3 linked regions of the Macaca fascicularis genome follow. The protein of the gene in region 1 interacts with the protein of each later gene in a pairwise test. Links are inferred from orthologs where the notes say so. Each region holds a gene or a part of one and is shown in the gene's direction. Other genes may lie near its edges.

Region 1 (2,723 bases):
AGGCACATAACCTCAGCTTTCTCCTTTCCTCTGCTCATTTATTCGGTATGTGAGAAGAGACTCCTCGAACAGCAAAGGCAGACAACTCAGGCTAGGCAGCTGCTGATGGATTTTAGTAACTACAGAGTGAGTGTGTGAGTCTCAATCCTGACAGCACGCATTACAGAGGGATGAGAGTGGAGGCACATCTTCCTGTATGAGTTGGCGGTGGATGACAATCTGCCAAACTAAAATAATGGAAGAGACATTGGTTGTATAAAAAGGAATCAGCTGGCTGGGTGCGGTGGTTCATGTCTGTTATCTCAGCTCTTTGGGAGGCTGAGGCGGGTGGATCACCTGAGGTCAGGAGTTCGAGATCTGCCTGGCTAACATGATGAAACCCCATCTCTACTAAAAATACAAAAATTAGCCAGGCATGGTGGTGGGCGCCTGCAATCCCAGCTACTCAGGAGGCTGAGGCAGGAGAATTGCTGGAGCCTGGAAGGCAGAGGTTACAGTGAGCCAAGATCACGCCATTGCACTCCAACCGGGGTGACAACAGGGAGACTCTGTCTCAAAAAAAAAAAAAAAAAAATTCAGCTTAGCTTAGTTATAAGGTATTTTGTAAGATTCTGGGAATACCATTTCATTTTTCCTTGAGATTGCTTGTGTACCCAAACCAGAAAATATAACAAAAACAGAATCATGTGGAAAAATGTTTTTTTAATCTCATTAATGCATCTTTACCATTAAGCAATTTTGTCAGTCTTCATAGCAAAAAAAGAAAATAATATTTAATAAAAATCAACTGTACTAGTTTATTTACACGTATTACTTTTCCTTTAATAGACATGCTTGCTTTTTTTTTTTCTTTTTAATAGTGAAAGAACTAGGGCAAAAGTGGTTAAATGATTTTTCCTACTTGCCAAATGACAGACCTGAAATTTAAACTCAACTTCATTTGATTATAGAGCTCCAATTTTATTTTAAAATACTATAGGATAAAATAAGAGTTCTGTGTTAAAAAAAGAGACCCTTTTAGGTGCAATTATTTGGGAAATAGTCAAGAAAGAGACTAGTATATATGCATGTCTTTACCTACATGTATGTATGATATTTATCTTAAACTATTCCCTGAGGAGAATTTTCAATTGTTTTCATATAAAATTATTTATAGGTTTTATTGCAGATAATCCTGTCTTACAGAAAGAGCTCAGGATTATCTCCTGGAAATAGAAAGATACATTACAAAGAAAAGAGTGACCATCTGGCCTTGCGATATTATGTGGATTGGGGCCCTGCAGAATTTACATGATGTCACTGAAAGCCAAGAGAAAGAAATTAATCTCTCTATGATATCATCTTAGAAGATAGACTGTGAATCAATTGATGTATCAGATAAATAGATAACTGATCAAAAATGGATGTACTGATTGAGGTAGATAACTATACATAGTTGTATAAAATGATTAACTCATTCATTTCTGAGGTAAAAGCAAAGTGGTGTTCTTTGGCTTCAATAACATTAAATCTCTTAAATTCTTAATTGCATTCTGGAATAATAGCTCTTTTTTCTTTTCTTTTCTTTTTTTTCCCTACAGTTGGACAGTGTCACCTCCCTGATCCAAGCAGCCAAAAATTTAATGAATGCTGTAGTGCAAACAGTGAAAATGTCTTACATTGCCTCAACCAAGATCATCCGAATCCAGAGTCCTGCTGGGCCCCGGCACCCAGTTGTGATGTGGAGAATGAAGGCTCCTGCAAAAAAACCCTTAATTAAAAGAGAGAAGCCAGAGGAAACGTGTGCAGCTGTCAGACGAGGCTCAGCAAAGAAAAAAATCCATCCAGTTCAAGTCATGAGTGAATTTAGAGGAAGACAAATCTACTGAAACCACTATTCTACCTATAGTGCCTATATGACAAAATCCTGGCTAACCACACTGCTTTATTTTACACTTAAGAAGTTCTGTAATTTCACTAAGTTTTGGTGTTTAACTCACAAATAACATAAAATATTGGGTGCCAAATCAACATAAGCAATATATATTTGGGATCATGTCATTGTCATTTCTATATGGTCAGCACCTAATAGTTAATGAGTATTTGCTTGTTCAATGAATGGAATTATCACGTGTCATTCAGTCTTTCCCATCATAGAGATTATCTACTATTTGTTAACAAATAAACACAGGAGATGCAAGAGAGTCCTGTTTATCCATAATACTTCAAGTGCACTTATCATCCTTATCTTTAAGTAAAACACTAACATGAGCTCCTGACTTGGTTTTTTAATAGAAACAAAAGACTTTTATAAAATATTTTCCCATTTAATCTCCATGCTTTCTTTACCTGATCTAACCTGGCAGAAATGTATGATTCCTGCCATAGCTAAAAAACAACCTTGTAATCTCTAGATAGCTGTACTCATTGTCAACTTATTAGGCTAACATCCATTATAAACTAATCAAATTTGAATAGTCAGGCTACTTGCTGAATTTTGAAGGTCAACCTTGGTTATTAATGAAATGTTTTCTTAACATTATAAAGGTTACAATGAGTTCTGATGCCACATATGCACCTTTTGGGTTTCCAATGTGTTAGAAAATTCTGTACTTTTGCGTGTTAGGCCTATCTGAATACATATGTGAAAGAAGAGTTACCACCCACTGGGGAAATGAGACACAAACTATATCCCAAAGTGAGTTATATTAATAACAACAGAAGTGTAAGTTCTGTATGACCCT
Region 2 (3,649 bases), on another chromosome or scaffold:
ATCACGCCACTGCACTCCAGCCTGGGCGACAGAGCGAGACTCCGTCTCAAAAAAACAAACAAACAAACAAACAAAATATATAAAAAATTAGCTGGGCGTGGTGGTGGGCTCCTGTAATCGCAGCTACTCAGGAGGCTGAGGCGGGAGAATCACTTGAACCCAGGAGGTGGAGGTTGCAATGAGGTGAGATTGCATCACTGCACTCCAGCCTGGGTAACAAGAGTGAAACTCTATCTCAAAAAAAAAAAAAAAAAAAGAAAAGGATTAGCCATGAGCACCCCCAGATCCTGTGGATTAAGTGACATGGCTGGGATGGTCTCCTTCTCTGGATATCTTCTAGTGTGCCTGTGTCTGGCCTCGGGGACAGAAGAGGTGAAGGAGAGAGGGGATACCTGAAGCTGGGAAGCTGGGATCCTTCAGATGTCCAAGAAGTGCCCCTGATTGCTGCCCCTTTTTTTTTTTGCCAGGCAACCATTGGCTTGATCAGGAATCTGGCCCTGTGCCCAGCCAACCATGCCCCACTGCAGGAGGCAGCGGTCATCCCCCGCCTCGTCCAACTGCTGGTCAAGGCCCACCAGGATGCCCAGCGCCACGTAGCTGCAGGCACACAGCAGCCCTACACGGTATGTGAGCTGGTGGTGCCTGTGACAACCTTCCTGGGGGGCAGGTGTCCTCTGTGGGTGTGTGTGTGAATGCAGAGGTCAGTTGCAACTGATGCCAGTTCCAAGAGCCTGTGAAGTTCATTCGGCTGACAGCACCTGTCCCATGCCCCCTGCCTCCTCTCTTGCAGGATGGTGTGAGGATGGAGGAGATTGTGGAGGGCTGCACCGGAGCCCTGCACATCCTCGCCCGGGACCCCATGAACCGCATGGAGATCTTCCGGCTCAACACCATCCCTCTGTTTGTGCAGGTGAGTCTGGGGCAGGTATGCAGGAGAGCTGCCCCCACCACTGCTTAGAGGGCAAGGTTAGGAGTCCCAGATTTTGAGGGCCTGGACCAGGCATCAAGAGGTCTTTGGAGGAGTTTGGAGGAAAGTGGCCACACCAGATTGACTACTTAGCAACCCCCTGCACAGGCATGGCTTTCTAAGCTTCAAAGCAAGGAAAGAGATCACAAATGGAAAAAACAAAAACAAAAAAAACTTGAGATTCAACCACATAAACATGAAAACCATCTATTTCAGAAAGAACCTTTAAAAAGCATTAAAAAAATCAGCAAACTGGGAGAATATGTGCAAGTACCATAACAGACAAGAGTTTAACATCTTTCATGTCAGTGACTTCTTTAACACTAGATTCCAATGGTTAGATGAAGCAGAGTAACAGGTAATTTCAAGGTAGTTCATGAACAACACTCAGCCCAGTTTAAAACAGTAACACTTACTCCCCAGTGATGGCCCGTTTTCCACTATGGAATTGCTACAGGGTGGAGGTGGGCAGGGCTGTGGGGTGTGTTGTCCGGCCTGCCTCACCCCTTCCCACCTCTCCCCTGCTTCCCATGTCCCCTCTCCCCAGCTCCTGTACTCATCGGTGGAGAACATCCAGCGTGTGGCCGCCGGGGTGCTGTGTGAGCTGGCCCAGGACAAGGAGGCGGCTGACGCCATTGATGCAGAGGGGGCCTCGGCCCCACTCATGGAGTTGCTGCACTCCCGCAACGAGGGCACTGGTGAGCTGGAAGAGGGCAGCTGGGTCCCACTCCCCCAGGCATGATGGAGGCTGGCAGACGTTTAACCTAGCTTTTCCTCTCCTCTCTGCTCAGCCACCTACGCTGCTGCTGTCCTGTTCCGCATCTCTGAGGACAAGAACCCAGACTACCGGAAGCGTGTGTCCGTGGAGCTCACCAACTCCCTCTTTAAGCATGACCCGGCTGCCTGGGAGGCTGTGAGTATCCTAGGCTGGACCGCAGTAGTTGGTTGCACAACTTGTGCACTGCCCAAGGGCAACTTGACTTTTGGGGGTCTCCTACTACTGTCAACTTTATAGATTTTTATTTTGTAATTGGATCATTTATAACAATTCCTAGCAGATGGAAGTAGTAGGTTGAACCATATGTCCACACAATGCCAATTTTTATTTTGCCCAAATGAGTATACGGTGTTTGAGGAGGGGGTGCTTTTCCTAATTTGCATGGAGGTGCTGGATAGGCTACAGGTGGTCTTTTCCAGGGTGGAGCAGTGCCCTGCACCCATTCGTGAGTCCTCTGCCTCCTACCCTCCTCCCATGAGCTGCTCTAATCCAGCAGGAGTTCCTGCTCCATGAATGGGGAACCCTCCTCCCTGGGGAGTACTGAGGACACGAGTACATCAGGGCACTGGGTGACCCCATTTCATCATCCTGTATTCCTCCAAGGCCTCTTTGCTTTTCTCTGGCCCCCTCTTTTATTTATTTATTTGTTTTTATTTTTTTTTGAGACAGAGTCTTGGTCTGTCGCCAGGCTGGAGTGCAGTGGCGTGATCTTGGCTCACTGCAACCTCTGCCTCCTGGTTTCAAGCAATTCTCCTGCCTTAGCCTCCTGAGTAACTGGAACTACAGGCACATGCTACCACACCCAGCTAATTTTTGTATTTTTAGTAGAGATGGGGTTTCCCCATGTTGGCTAGGATGATCTCAATCTCCTGACCTTGTAATCTGCCCACCTTGGCCTCCCAAAGTGCTGGGATTACAGGTGTGAGCCACTGTACCCGGGCTATTTTTTATTTTTTTCGAGACGGAGTCTCTCTCTGTGGCCCAGGCTGGAGTGCAGTGGCGCAGTCTCGGCTCACTGCATCCTCTGTCTCCCCATTCAAGCAATTCTCCTGCCTCAGCCTCCCAAGTAGCTGGGATTACAGGTGTGCACCACCACGCACAGCTATTTTTTTGTATTTTTAGTAGAGACGGGGTTTCACCACGTTGGCCAGGCTGGTCCAAAACTCCTGACCTCAAGTGATCCGCCTGCCTCCACCTCCCAGATTGCTGGGATTACAGGCGTGAGCCACCACATCCGGCCCAGTCCCTTCTTTTAGAAGCATCTCTCCCTGCCCCCCAGCTGATATCCAGCTTGGAGCCTGCATTTTCTTTTTTTTTTTTTGAGACGGAGTCTTGCTCTGCCGCCCAGGCTGGAGTGCAGTGGCCGGATCTCAGCTCACTGCAAGCTCCGCCTCCCGAGTTCACGCCATTCTCCTGCCTCAGCCTCCCGAGTAGCTGGGACTACAGGCGCCCGCCACCTCGCCCGGCTAGTTTTTTGTATTTTTTTTAGTAGAGACGGGGTTTCACCGTGTTAGCCAGGATGGTCTCGATCTCCTGACCTCGTGATCCGCCCGCCTCGGCCTCCCAAAGTGATGGGATTACAGGCTTGAGCCACCGCGCCCGGCCGGAGCCTGCATTTTCAAACCTCTCCTCCATGTTTCTCTCTCCTTTTTCAGGCCCAGAGCATGATTCCCATCAATGAGCCCTATGGAGATGGTAAGTGTGTGCCAGGCTCTTCAGGACCCTGGAGATCCTGGGTGGCTGTGTGGGTGTGTGTGAGGGGGCAATATTATGTCTCTGGGGCCAGAGGACCAGTGGCAACTGCTCTGTGGCATCCACATGTACCCTAGTCTAGATGCCCTGGTGTGGGGTCTGGGGAGGGGGTCAGGCCCACCAGGGGTGGGCATGGGTAGAGGAGGCAGCTG
Region 3 (4,317 bases), on another chromosome or scaffold:
ACCCTGGATCCACCCTCACTGAGGGGAAGGGTATGCCCGAGAGGAGAGCCCAGAGCCCGGGTCCAGGGTCCAGAGAGAGGCAGAGGCTGTCAGATGAGCTCGTAAGAGAAGCCCAGGGGTTGTCAAGATGTTCAGCTCCCACCCCCAGCCCTCCTAGGCTTATCCCCACCCCCCCCCCCCCATCTACCAGGGGCCTGTCCCGGAGGCCAGAGGGCCTCAGAACCTGCCTGCTGGCTCCACTGGCTGTGGTGCTCGAAGGAGACCTTCTGGGCACAAGCCCTGCTTGGTCTGGGCCTCCCCCGCCACCCCACCCCCACCCTCACTCCCTCTCCATCCCGGCCACTGCTCTCCCAGACCCCCTGGTTCTTCCCCGCACACCCCCACCCTCACTCCCTCTCCATCCCGGCCACTGCTCTCCCAGACCCCTGGTTCTTCCCCGCACACCCCACCCTCACTCCCTCTCCATCCCCGCCTCTGCTCTCCCAGACCCCCTGGTTCTTCCCCGCACACCCCCACCCTCACTCCCTCTCCATCCCGGCCACTGCTCTCCCAGACCCCCTGGTTCTTCAGCGCACACCGCTCCTGCCCCAACCTGGCATGCGCTGACAGGAGTGCAGGCCCCTCTGAGTCAACCCCCTGGGGCAGCCCCGCCCCCTGCACCCTGACTCATGTGCTGGGAACGGCCTCCCACCCGAGGGCCTGGGGGGCAGGCGCAGTGGTGCCAGGGTCCCAGAAGCCAGAGAGGGTCAAGTCAGCCCTTTGGAGGCCTCTGTGGGGGGTGAGGGGGTCCTGAGGGTGAGTTCCAGGGTCGGCAGGCCTCAGGGGAGGGCCGGTCCATCCACATGCTTCCTGTGGGGAGGGGGCTCTCTGGGTTCCAAGCACCAGGGCCTCCATGGAGTCCGGTTGGACCCTAAAGCTCCGTCCCTCCATCCTGTGTCCTGACCCCGGCACTGACCCCTGGCCCCCCACAGTGTCTCCTGCCAACCCCTTCCTAGGCCTCATCCCCGCCTCACCAGCAAGGCTGGGCTACCGTGGAGGCTGTCTGGTCCTTGGAGCTACCTAGGGCCCTAGACCCCCCAGGGGGTGGGACACCCTCCCCTTCATGCTGGGGGTGGCAGGACATAGGCCCCCTCAGGACCTCTGCCCTTCCCTGACACTCAGGACACAGAGGGCCCCTCTGTCCCAGCCCCACAACAGAGGGCTCGGTCCGGCCTTTACAGGCTGAGAACAAGAAGGACCCAGGGCCCCCGTGGCCCTGTCGTGGGATGGGAGAAAAGGAGGCAGGAGGCCAGGCTGGGACCTGGGGCCATGCAGGGCCTGTTCTTCCGCCCAAATTCCACCTTAAGCAGGCGGTGGCCCCTCCCTCCCACCTGGCCAGGTGTCCCCGCCCCCAGCTGCGCTCAGGGCTGGGCAGGCGTCTGTCTCCAGGCGGCCCTGGGTGAGGCTGGCGGGGCGGGGACTTCAGGGAGAGGGCCTGGAGGGACAGGACGTGAAGATAGTTGAGTTTGGAGGCGGCCGCCAGGCCTAGGCCCGGTGGACCTGCCGCCATGCAGGATGGTAACTTCCTGCTGTCGGCCCTGCAGCCCGAGGCCGGTGTGTGCTCCCTGGCGCTGCCCTCTGACCTGCAGCTGGACCGCCGGGGCGCCGAGGGGCCGGAGGCCGAGCGGCTGCGGGCGGCCCGCGTCCAGGAGCAGGTCCGCGCCCGCCTCTTGCAGCTGGGACAGCAGCCGCGGCACAACGGGGCCGCTGAGCCCAAGCCTGAGGCGGAGACTGCCAGAGGTAGGCCAAGGCACAAGGCAGGTGCCGGGCAGAGGGGACCGCGGCGGGGACGATGGTGGCGGAGAGAGGTGTCTGCGGGCGGAGGTGGTAGGGCGAGGGCAGAGGCCGCAGTGAGGCTGGCTCCTGACTCACCAGGCCTCACACTGAGTCACGCACCCCGCCCCAACGGGCGTGGGGAGAAGCCATGGGTGGGGCTCCCCATCCAAGCAAGGACCCCCGGGTCCTCCAGGGACAGAGCCTGGCCAGGCCCCACCTGTGTCCTCAGCCTAGAGCCTCCCCCGTGGGGGATGACAGGGAAGGCTGGCACACGGCAGGCGGGCCAGGCCCCTCAATCGGCAAACCCGGAGCACGCACGCGACTGCCCCAGAAGCACAGGCTCACGCACGGTCTCAGGGACACCCAGACACCCACGCTTCTCCCACACCTCATGGGAATGAGCAGAACAGGAAAGCGGGGAGAGGTGTGGGGGGGCTGGGAAGTCCTGGAGGAAAGCCAGGCCTGTCTGGACCAGGGGCTCCCTGAGGAATTAGAGGGGAGGGCCCCACTGGAGTGACCCAGATTTCTCTGTGGGAACAGCAGGTGGAGGAGCACCCCTCAGTGCCAGCCAGACCCACCTGTGGCGGAATCCTGGCCCCACTCACGCGAGTGCGTGTGCATGCGTGTGAGTGTGAGTGACAGGAGCACGCAGATGCTGTGGTTGAGGGCAGTGGTTCTAGAACGTCATTTCCTCCTTCGCCAGCTACAGCAACAGGGATTAAGGTCAGGCAGTAAGAGGAACCTCCCAGAATGCCAGGGACCCAGATGCCAGTTCATCGTGGTGCTTAGAGGGGACCCCCAGGACTGGTCTCCAGCTACTGGCCGGGGGGAAGTGAAGGTCACCCAGCGGAAGGGCCGGCCTGGCGGCCTGGACTGTGGGGTCCTCCCTCCAGGGGCCTCAGCCTTGCTGGTGACCAAGTTGGGTGCCCAGGGGTCATGGGGTGGAGGACGGTGAGGGAAGGGTTAATTACCACCCTGGCTACCCTGCCAATTAGAGGGGGGTGGATTATAATTGGGGGGTGGGGGTGAGGTCCCCAGGCTGGGGCGTGCCCCTACTCCGGGCTGGGCCTCACCAGCGTCAGAGAGTTAATAGCCCCGGCCCAGAAGCCCCATTAACCAGGGTGAGTCTGGGGCCCCTGCTGTGGGGGTGTACCCAACAGAGCATCCAGCTCTGGGCAGAGTTGTGGGAGGGCCATGGCCCCCTTCCCTGTACCCCACACTGAGCCCCTCAGCCAGTGGTCGCTCTGCTGGGCCTTCTCATGCCCCCGCCATCAGCCCGTCCTCTCTGCACCCACCCACGAGTCCATCCCTCTCCCCACTCACCATCCACCTGCGGGACCCACCATTGTCGCCGGCTCTCCCACCCCTCCGTCCACCACTCTGTCCATCCTTACAACAGTCACAGCAGCCCTCCCATCCTCCTCCTGCCTGTCTCTCCATCCACCCTCCGCCCTCCGCCCTCTGTCCACCCGCCTGTCTGTCCACTCACCGTGGAGTCGGGCTGACGCAGCTGCCCTTGGCGTGTGTGTGGCTGGACGGGGTGGGTGTGGCCCCTGCCTCGGGCTCTGCCGGGTGGGAGAGAGCACTGCAACAGGGCATACTGGTCCAGGGAGACAGTGTCACTCTCCTGTGACTGGGCACAGATGAGATTTGGGCACAGGAGGGGCTCAAAAGGAGTCAGTGTGAGTTGGGGCAGGCCAGGTTGGCTTCCTGGAGGAGGAGGCTGGGCGCTGTACCATGGCAGGGATTGGAGAACTGATGTCAGAGTCCCTGGCACATTCCTCCAGGCGACCAGGAGGTCAGTGGGTGAGCACATCTGCCTTCTTGGGCAGAGGAGGCACAGCTGGGGGGTGGGCTGTGGAAGGTGGACCACCAGGGCTGACATGTGAGGAGACCAGGCCATGGCAGGAATGGGGAGGCCCTGGCCCCGAAGCCCCTGGCCTCCCTGCCCTGGATTGGAGGCTGCTCCTGGGGTTGCGAATAGCGATGGAGTCGGGAGGAGGCAGGAGGCCGGGGCTTTGCCGTGTGGCAGAGCTGGGCTACCACTGTCCCTCTCCACAGGCACATCCCGGGGGCAGTACCACACCCTGCAGTCTGGCTTCAGCTCTCGCTCTCAGGGCCTGAGTGGGGACAAGACCTCGGTAAGCAACGGGCCCAGCCCGAGGGGGACAATCTGAGCTCTGCAGCTCGGAGAGGGGGAGGCCCTGCGGCAGGGCTGGACGCAGGTGAGCCCAGGCACGTCCTCACTGCCCCCTCTCGACCCACAGGGCTTCCGGCCCGTCGCCAAGCCAGCCTGCAGCCCAGCCTCCTGGTCCTCCCGCTCCGCCGTAGACCTGAGCTGCAGTCGGAGGCTGAGTTCTGCCCACAACGGGGGCAGCGCCTTTGGGGCCGCTGGGTACGGGGGTGCTCAGCCCACCCCTCCCATGCCCGCCAGGCCTGTGTCCTTCCACGAGCGCAGTGGGGTTGGCAGCCGGGCCGACTATGACACACTGTCCCTGCGCT

Evidence for each region.
Region 2: the proteins of CTNNA3 (region 1) and JUP interact in binary tests that used the Homo sapiens proteins (3 or more experiments, as listed by UniProt). The link is inferred for Macaca fascicularis from reciprocal best matches to the Homo sapiens genes CTNNA3 and JUP.
Region 3: the proteins of CTNNA3 (region 1) and PKP3 interact in a two-hybrid assay, tested with the Homo sapiens proteins (2 studies listed by IntAct). The link is inferred for Macaca fascicularis from reciprocal best matches to the Homo sapiens genes CTNNA3 and PKP3.

Annotation. Positions count from the first base shown.
Region 1 is NC_088383.1:80,657,322-80,660,044, forward strand, and holds the end of CTNNA3 (catenin alpha-3), read left to right. Parts: intron 1-1,580; coding exon 1,581-1,868; 3' UTR 1,869-2,179; downstream 2,180-2,723. UniProt on the Homo sapiens protein: May be involved in formation of stretch-resistant cell-cell adhesion complexes.
Region 2 is NC_088390.1:62,792,205-62,795,853, reverse strand, and holds part of JUP (junction plakoglobin), read left to right. Parts: intron 1-467; coding exon 468-623; intron 624-790; coding exon 791-910; intron 911-1,514; coding exon 1,515-1,665; intron 1,666-1,758; coding exon 1,759-1,880; intron 1,881-3,400; coding exon 3,401-3,440; intron 3,441-3,649. UniProt on the Homo sapiens protein: Common junctional plaque protein. The membrane-associated plaques are architectural elements in an important strategic position to influence the arrangement and function of both the cytoskeleton and the cells within the tissue.
Region 3 is NC_088388.1:296,837-301,153, forward strand, and holds the start of PKP3 (plakophilin-3), read left to right. Parts: upstream 1-1,463; 5' UTR 1,464-1,547; coding exon 1,548-1,779; intron 1,780-3,876; coding exon 3,877-3,956; intron 3,957-4,082; coding exon 4,083-4,317. UniProt on the Homo sapiens protein: A component of desmosome cell-cell junctions which are required for positive regulation of cellular adhesion. Required for the localization of DSG2, DSP and PKP2 to mature desmosome junctions.